Oryctolagus cuniculus: one gene and its partner. The protein of the gene in region 2 purifies or fractionates together with the protein of the main gene of each other region. This does not show direct contact. Links are inferred from orthologs where the notes say so. Each region holds a gene or a part of one and is shown on either strand. Other genes may lie near its edges.

Region 1 (3,742 bases), on a different chromosome or scaffold from region 2:
GGTGGCAGGAACCTGGGTACGTGGGCCGTCACCTGCTGCAAGCTGGACTGGACGGGGGCGGGGCGGCACTCGGGCTGGGATGCAGCTTGATCCACGGACCCACACACCTGCCCTGGAGGAGACTTTTCAGAAAACGGGGGGCTGGTTTTTGGGGTTCCCGCGCCTCTGCAGCGTGCGTCCCCTGTATGCAGGCCTCGGACCGGGCTATTCCACGGTGCCGGTCCAGCGTGGGTTTGGATCTCTTACGGCCAACACCTGGGCTTGGCTCACGCTGTGGGCCCCGCCGCTGCGAATTTGGGTTTTTCCCCTTTTTTTCCAGACTCAGTCAGCGGGGAGCGGGCACTTCCTGCCCACAGATTCTCCTCGGGAGGGAACGGTTCAGGATCAGGCCCAGAGGGGACTGGCCCAGCACGGAGCGGCCAGAGGGAACAGGCCCAGAGGCCTTGCAGCGGGCCTGTCTCAGTGCTGGGCATGGGCAGCCCCACCTGGCCCGAAGGCGGCTCTGCCCAGAGCCTCGGTGGCATTCTGGAACCCCAGGGCCCGGCAGACGACGCTGGCGTCCGTCAGGTCCCAGAGGTTGTCGCACACGGTCCCCCACTGGCCCCTGTAGAAGATCTCCACGCGGCCCTCGTTGGCTGCGTCCCCGTTGGCCAGCCGCATGTCCCCGTCCTTCTCGCCTGCGGAGAGGGCAAAGGTCAGCTGGACGCGGCGCCCACCCAGCAGCGCGGCGGTTGTAAGGGCTTCCCCGGTCAGGCTGGCCGGTCCCTCACGTCAAAGCGCCCTCCACCCTGGCTGGGTGACACCCGTGCAGACCCCGCCCCCAGCCCGCGAGGCTGACTTGTCTCCCTGGTCCGCGTGGCCGGAGCTGAGGACAGGGACAGGGACACGGACGAGGAACCGGTGCTCTCCAGCACTGGACAAGAGGGGCAGGACCCCAGAGAGGACTGGGTGGGGGCCCTCGAGGGCAGCCGAGCAGGGGCGTCCATGGGCTCCAGGACTGGCGAGGGGGAGGGGGAGGGAGGTGTCCAGGACCCTTGGAGGCCTGGCCTGTGTCCAGAGGCTGCTGGCCTCACGACCACCCCCGCCACCGGCCTATGTGCTTGCCCCCATCCCCACTGGGGACAGAGTTCCTGGGTCCCCTCCCCATCCCCCCAAAGCCAGAACCCGGGGTCCCCGGAAGACACAAGCCACCCTCATTGGGTACCGCCTGGCTTGAGGCAGGAGAGACCTGGCCAGCACCTCCCAGCTCTCCGGAGGAGGGGCCCACCCCGACCCCAACCCCGACCCTGACCCCGCGGGGCAGGGCGGCAGCAGGCGCGTGGACTTCGGCCCTGGGCACCTCCCGGGCTCAGCTCACCTCGAGTCCCGGCGAGCAGCAGCCACACCCAGAAGAGCCGTGGGGGGGCCATGGCCTCCCTGGAGCCCTGACCCTGCAGCAGAAGGAAGCGGCGTGAGCCCGCACCCCGACCCGTCCTCCACTCCGCTGCGGGGCACACAGGGACCCCCTCCCGCAACCCCCCCCCGAGATCTCCCCATGATGAACAAGAAGGCGACCTGTGCCATGGATGCCTGGGGGGGGCTGTGCCTGGGCTGCAGGCAGAGTGAGCCTGGGCCAGAGGCAGGGGCGAGGGAGGGGGAGGCGCAGCCGGGGGCCCAGGGCGCGGCAGAGCCCCAGAGGCACCCAAGGCGGGCAGAGGGGAAGGGAGGTGAGAGGCAGGGCAGGGGCTCCGACAGGAGTGAAATCCGGGCCCCAGAGAGGCTGGGCTCGGGTCGGGGAGGAGGGGGAGGGAGTCCCTGCCTGGCGGGTTCTCCCTGCAGCTCCGTGGGAGACGGGCGTGTCTGAGAGCCCCTTGGGGGGAGGCCAGAGGGGGACGACGTGGACTTCGGCTCCGGTCCCCAGGACACACAGGCTGGGAGAGGCCGTGGGGTCCTCCCCAGGGCACCTCCCACCCCCGTCCCCGCCCGCCCTGCTGCCCCCGGCAGAGCCAGCGTTTGCTTCTCTGGGACACCCGCGGTGGCCACTAGCAGCACTGGCTACAAGCGGGGGCCTGGACACCCGCCAGGCAGGCCCGGCTCCTCACTGCTGCGCGAGCGCTGGGACCCAGTGCAGCAGTCTGTGGGGGGCCCGGCGTGGCTGCCCGCACTACGTGGTCACCCAGGGCCCCTCGCACAGTAGCTGTCCTGGCCCCAACGACCGTGCAGGGGCTGCTGTCCAGGGAAGCCAAGGGCTCCGCGCGCCCTTCACGGGCAGGAGGGCCAGGGCCACCTGCTGTCCCTGCCCCACTTCCCAGGGAGCTGCAGGGCCGGCTTTGTTCCCTTGGGGACAGGAAGTCAGGGCCCCGGACATGGGGGCCACGCGAGGCCCTGGCACGTGGCCGCCGCCCTCCGTGCGGTGCTGTCGTGCAGGTGAGAACAAGGCCTTGGGGCCAGGCCCGGGCGGGGACGCGCAGGCCCAAGACAGGGCTGAGGGCTCAACGCTGGCCCCTCCTGCCTCGGCCGGGTCCCTGTGCAGGGAACAACCACACACAGAGGCCCTGCGGGCCCAGGCGCGGCGGGGGTGGTCCCTGGACTCGGGAGCCCGGGGCGCCCTGCTCCAGGCCCGGTGCCTGCAGTGTGGCCCACGCTGGCTGCCTGCGTAGACAGGGGCTTACCTGCCTGGCACAGGTGGCTGTGCGGGAGGCTCCCGCCTCTGCTGGAGGCCCAGCCTGCAGTGTGGAGGGGCGGCCCCAGGAAGTGCTCCAGGGAACAGGGACGACTTTCGATTCCCACAAACCACCTGACTGCAGCCTCCGCTGGGGTTGGCTGCAGCTCTGCTGGCCAGGCCCCCTCTTCCTTCCTGCTCTGGCTGTGGGGGTGGGGATGGCAGCCACCCAAGTTCTGACAACAAGACCTACAGCGAGGGGCAGGACCACAACACGAAGGCCAGCCTGGGACAGCGGAGCAGAGGCCCTGGGGCAGACGGCAGCGCTGTGTCCTGGCAGGGTTGGGCCCAGCACGTTGCTGGCTGGGTGGGCAGCCCACACCCCGCCAGGCTGCAGGGCACTGACCCCCGCAGGCAGTCGGGCAGGGGGCCCTGAGCCCTGGGAGACCAGGAAAGCGGCCGGCACGTGGCTGAGCTGGAGCTGCCCCAGTACCTGACACCAGGGCCTGGCCTTGTCCACGCTGGGCTGACCACCCACACTGCAGAGCGGTCACTCCCCTAACGGGAACACGAATGGCCCCGCCCAGCACACACCACCCCCCCCCGCCTCCATCCCCAGCTGCGAGGTCCCAGGGCGCCCTTGGCCGCAGGGATGGTGTCGGGGAGGGCTGTGCGCCCAGACAGCCCAGCGGGAGCAGCGTCCTCTCAGGGGATGGCGCCCTGAGCCACCACGCTGGGTGTGAGGTCCTGGGCCCAGCGGCCCAGTGACCCGATCAACATCACCTCTGGTTTCTTTTCTTAAAAAGATTTATTTATTTGAAAGGCAAAGAGGGAGAGACAGAGAGGGAGAGAGACAGAGGTCTTCCATCTATTGGTTCACTCCCCCAAACGACCACAATGGCCAGAGCTGAGCTGATCTAAAGCAGGAGCCAGGAGCATTCTCCGGTATCCTATGCGGGTGCAGGGGCCCAGGATTGGGCCATCTTCCACTGCTTTCCCAGGCCACAGCAGAGAGCTGGATCAGAAGTGGAGCAGCCGGGACTCGAACTGGCACTCACATGGGATGCCGGCCTCATGGGTGGCGGCTTCACCAGCTGAGCC
Region 2 (3,742 bases):
GCTCCCTGTGTACTGTGTGTGCTCCCTGTGTACTGTGTGTGCTCACTGTGTACTGTGTGTGCTCCCTGTGTACTGTGTGTGCTCACTGTGTACTGTGTGCTCCCTGTGTACTGTGTGTGCTCCCTGTGTACTGTGTATGTGCTGTGTACTGTGTGTGCTCAGTGTGTGTGTGCTCACTGTGTACTGTGTATGTGCTGTGTACTGTGTGTGCTCCCTGTGTACTGTGTGTGCTCCCTGTGTACTGTGTGTGCTCAGTGTGTGTGCTCCCTGTGTACTGTGTGTGTGCTGTGTACTGTGTGCTCCCTGTGTACTGTGTGTGCTCCCTGTGTGTGCTTCCTGTGTACTGTGTGTGCTCCCTGTGTACTGTGTGTGCTCCCTGTGTACTGTGTGTGCTCACTGTGTGCTGTGTGTACTGTGTGTGCTCACTGTGTGTGCTCCCTGTGTACTGTGTGTGCTCCCTGTGTGTGCTCCATGTGTACTGTGTGTGCTCCGTGTGTACTGTGTGTGCTCACTGTGTACTGTGTGTGTGCTGTGTACTGTGTGCTCCCTGTGTACTGTGTGTGCTCCCTGTGTGTGCTCCCTGTGTGTGTGCTCCATGTGTACTGTGTGTGCTCCGTGTGTGTGCTCACTGTGTACTGTGTGTGTGCTCCCTGTGTACTGTGTGTGCTCCCTGTGTACTGTGTGTGCTCACTGTGTGTGCTCCCTGTGTACTGTGTGTGCCCACTGTGTACCGTGTGTGTGTGCTGGTCATGCAGCCTCAGCCCCACCCTCCGCCTGGGAGAACCCTTGCCCCTCACCCTGGAAGCCCCTCCTTCCCTCCGTCCCCTGCCCTGGCACCTGGCAGGGTCGGAGGTTGTTCTGTGTCCCTTGCTGTTCTCTCGCCCTTCATGAGACGGAAGCGGACTTCAGGGAGGAGAAAACGCGGGGGTTTAAGGTTGGTGAGTCCGTATCGCCAGGCACAGAGCAGGCACGAGGTTAGGGACCAGTGAGTGATAACCGACACACCAAATGGTAAAAGTCACAAATCCAGGCCGGCGCTATGGCTTAGCAGGTAAAACCACTGCCTGCGACGCTGGCATCCCATGTAGCTGGGGGTTCGAGTCCTGGCTGTTCCACTTCCAACCCAGCTCTCTGCTGTGGCCTGAGAAAGCAGCAGATGATGCCAAGTCCTTGGGCCCTGCACCCACGTGGGAGACCTGGAAGACGCTGCTGGCTGCTGGCTTCCCCCTGGCCCAGCCCTGGGCGTTGCAGCTATCTGAGGAGTGAATCGGAGGATGGAAGATCTGTCTCTATGTAACTCTGCCTTTCAAATAAATAAATAATTTTTTAAAAAAGTCACGAAGCCATTGCACTGATGTAAATACGTTTGTTTCATCGAGAGTGTGAATCAAACAAATGCCATTTAAAAAAAAGAACACGCCGAATTACGGACGACAGGGGTTGCTGTTGCTACTCAGACAGGCACACACCCCCCCATCAATCGACGCCCTTGGGGCGGACCCTTCTGTTGCCCGGAACTCTTGTGGCCCGCGGGTGATTGCCGGGGGGAAAACGTGGCAGGCGCGCGGGGAACTGTTAGGCCGACGCACGCCGGCCGGTTCCCGGAAGAGCGAGGCATTTTGGGAAGCGGCTCTGTTTCGCGCGTTCCGGTAAAATGGCGGCCCCGGGGCTGGCGGTCCCTGCGCCGTAGGCTGTGGGAAAGCGGGGAGCCGCGGGCGCAGGCGGGCGGGGTCCCCGCCGAGGCGAGGATGGCGACACCGGACCAGAAGTCGCCGAACGTTCTGCTGCAGAACTTGTGCTGCCGGATTCTGGGCCGGAGCGAAGGTAGCGGGGCGGGCCGGGCGTGTGGCGGGGCGCGGCGGGGCCCGGGCCGCCGCGTGCTGGCGAGTAGCTCCTCGCGGGCCCCGGGCGGGCGGGCGGGCGGGCGGGGGAAGCGTGGCGGCGGAGTTGTGCGGGGCGCGCTCGCCACCCTCACCGGCCATGTTTTCCGAGCGGGGAGCGTTGAGGGCTGGGCGTGCGTGGAGTCCCCGCGCGTGGGGGGCACTTGCGTGGGCGCGGGCGGCATGCGCCCGAGGGGCTCCCGCGTCCTGGGGGCCCGGGGCGGGAGCTGCGGGCTCCGAAGTCAGGCCCGCGGGACGGCCGGCTCCGGCGCCCGGCGCGCGTCGGGTCGCTGCTTTCTCGCGGGGTTCCGGGGCGGCCGAGGACTCGCTTTGTGTTGGGGGAAGCGAACGGCTGTGGGCAGCTCCCGCCCCGCTCTGTGCCGCGCGTGTCGCTGGGTCGGGGACCCCTCCGCCGCGGCGTCGGCTGCTGGCGTGCGGGGACCCCGCGCTGTGCCGGAGGCGCGCTCGGGCTGCGGGGGGCGCGGGGACGGGCCGAGGGGAGGACGCGGTCGTGGGCGCGGGCACCGTCCGAGACCGAGGGGAGACCCGCGCACTGCAGGGCAGGGCTCCTCAGCAGGGGCAGCGCCGGGGCTTGCACCCTGGCGAGTTCTGCGGGCCCGCCGTCACGGTGACCTCCAGCTTAGGAACCCGCGGTGTTTGGTCTCGGCCGGGCCCCGGGGCTTGGTAGCCGATCCGCACCCGCCGCCTCCCGGCCGGTGCCTGTGCGGTGCGGGGCGCGCTGCCCGGTGCGTGTCGGCCGCCGCCGGCGCTGCGTGTGCGTTCGGCCCGGCCGGCCCCTGCCTCCCGGTGGCCGGGCAGCTGTCGTTAGCGCGGTCAGCTTGCCTCGTTCCTCGGTCGCGGTGCTGGTCCTGGGCTGGCGCTGGGACAGCAGTGTTTGGTTCTGCCGGTGCCGGCAGAGTTTTTTTTCCTTCGTTGCCGTTGTCATCATCAGATTTTGGAAGTCACTTGTTGTGAGCTAGAATGTTTCCCGACAGTTAAGCATTTTGAAAATTAGACACTATTGGAGAGAGAGAGTGCTCCCGTCCGCTGACCTCAGTGCCAGCCCCGGGGCACCCGGGAGCTGGGGTGGAACCCAGGTCTCCCATGTGGGTGGCACGAACCCAGCAACTTAAGCCAGCACCTGCCTCCCAGCGCACAGTAGCTGGGAGCAGCATCGGGACTGAAACCCAGGCGGTCTGCTCCGGGGTGCAGCGTCCTACCCTGTGTGCTAGCTGCGGCACCAAAGCCCTGAGCCCCAGCATTTAACTTTTTTTTTTTTTAAATTGAGACTCCTTCTCGTTGATATAAAAGTTCCACTCCCGCCAGAGACCGCAGTGCTTCTCTCTGCAGAAATCGCTGTCCTCTGTCTTTGATTTAGCATTGGGTCTAAACTAAGATGGCTGTCAGTGGGACCCGGAGGGGATTCCCTTTGAATGACATGTCATAAAATAGATTAACGGTGATATTCGCTTTGATGTGTTCTGAAGTGCTAGGATTGCCAGATGTTTATGGCACTAATTTGAGTTTTACTACTACTTACTGAAAAACTTGTGTTTAGTAGCTTATTGTGTTTTATTTGTTCTGGCTCAGCGAGCAAAGGAGCAGCAGGAGTTGCTGCCTTTACTACATTTGTATTGAAGCCTTTTCCGCTTGGTGGTTATTTTATCTGACAACTGCCTGGTGCGTTCATTAGTTACTCATTTCGTAATGATAAATTACATGTTTTGCAACCCTCATGCAAAAATCTAAAATCTATGATGCTGTGCAATCTGAAATGTTTCTAGTGTCATGCAGTATCGGAATTTCATTTTTCAGACTTTCGGATTAGGGATGCTCACCTGGTAAATCCTATGTATTATCCC

Evidence for each region. Proteins that work in one complex are often made in the same cells at the same time.
Region 1: the proteins of TUBGCP3 (region 2) and LGALS3BP purify together in Homo sapiens (affinity purification with mass spectrometry; 4 studies listed by BioGRID and IntAct, counting the BioPlex papers as one, with this or other methods). This does not show direct contact. The link is inferred for Oryctolagus cuniculus from reciprocal best matches to the Homo sapiens genes TUBGCP3 and LGALS3BP.

The regions. Positions count from the first base shown.
Region 1 is NC_091448.1:2,763,917-2,767,658, reverse strand, and holds the start of LGALS3BP (galectin-3-binding protein), read right to left. Parts: upstream 2,806-3,742; 5' UTR 2,652-2,805; intron 1,431-2,651; 5' UTR 1,410-1,430; coding exon 1,358-1,409; intron 678-1,357; coding exon 486-677; intron 1-485.
Region 2 is NC_091440.1:1,168,185-1,171,926, forward strand, and holds the start of TUBGCP3 (gamma-tubulin complex component 3), read left to right. Parts: upstream 1-1,587; 5' UTR 1,588-1,748; coding exon 1,749-1,824; intron 1,825-3,742. UniProt on the Homo sapiens protein: Component of the gamma-tubulin ring complex (gTuRC) which mediates microtubule nucleation.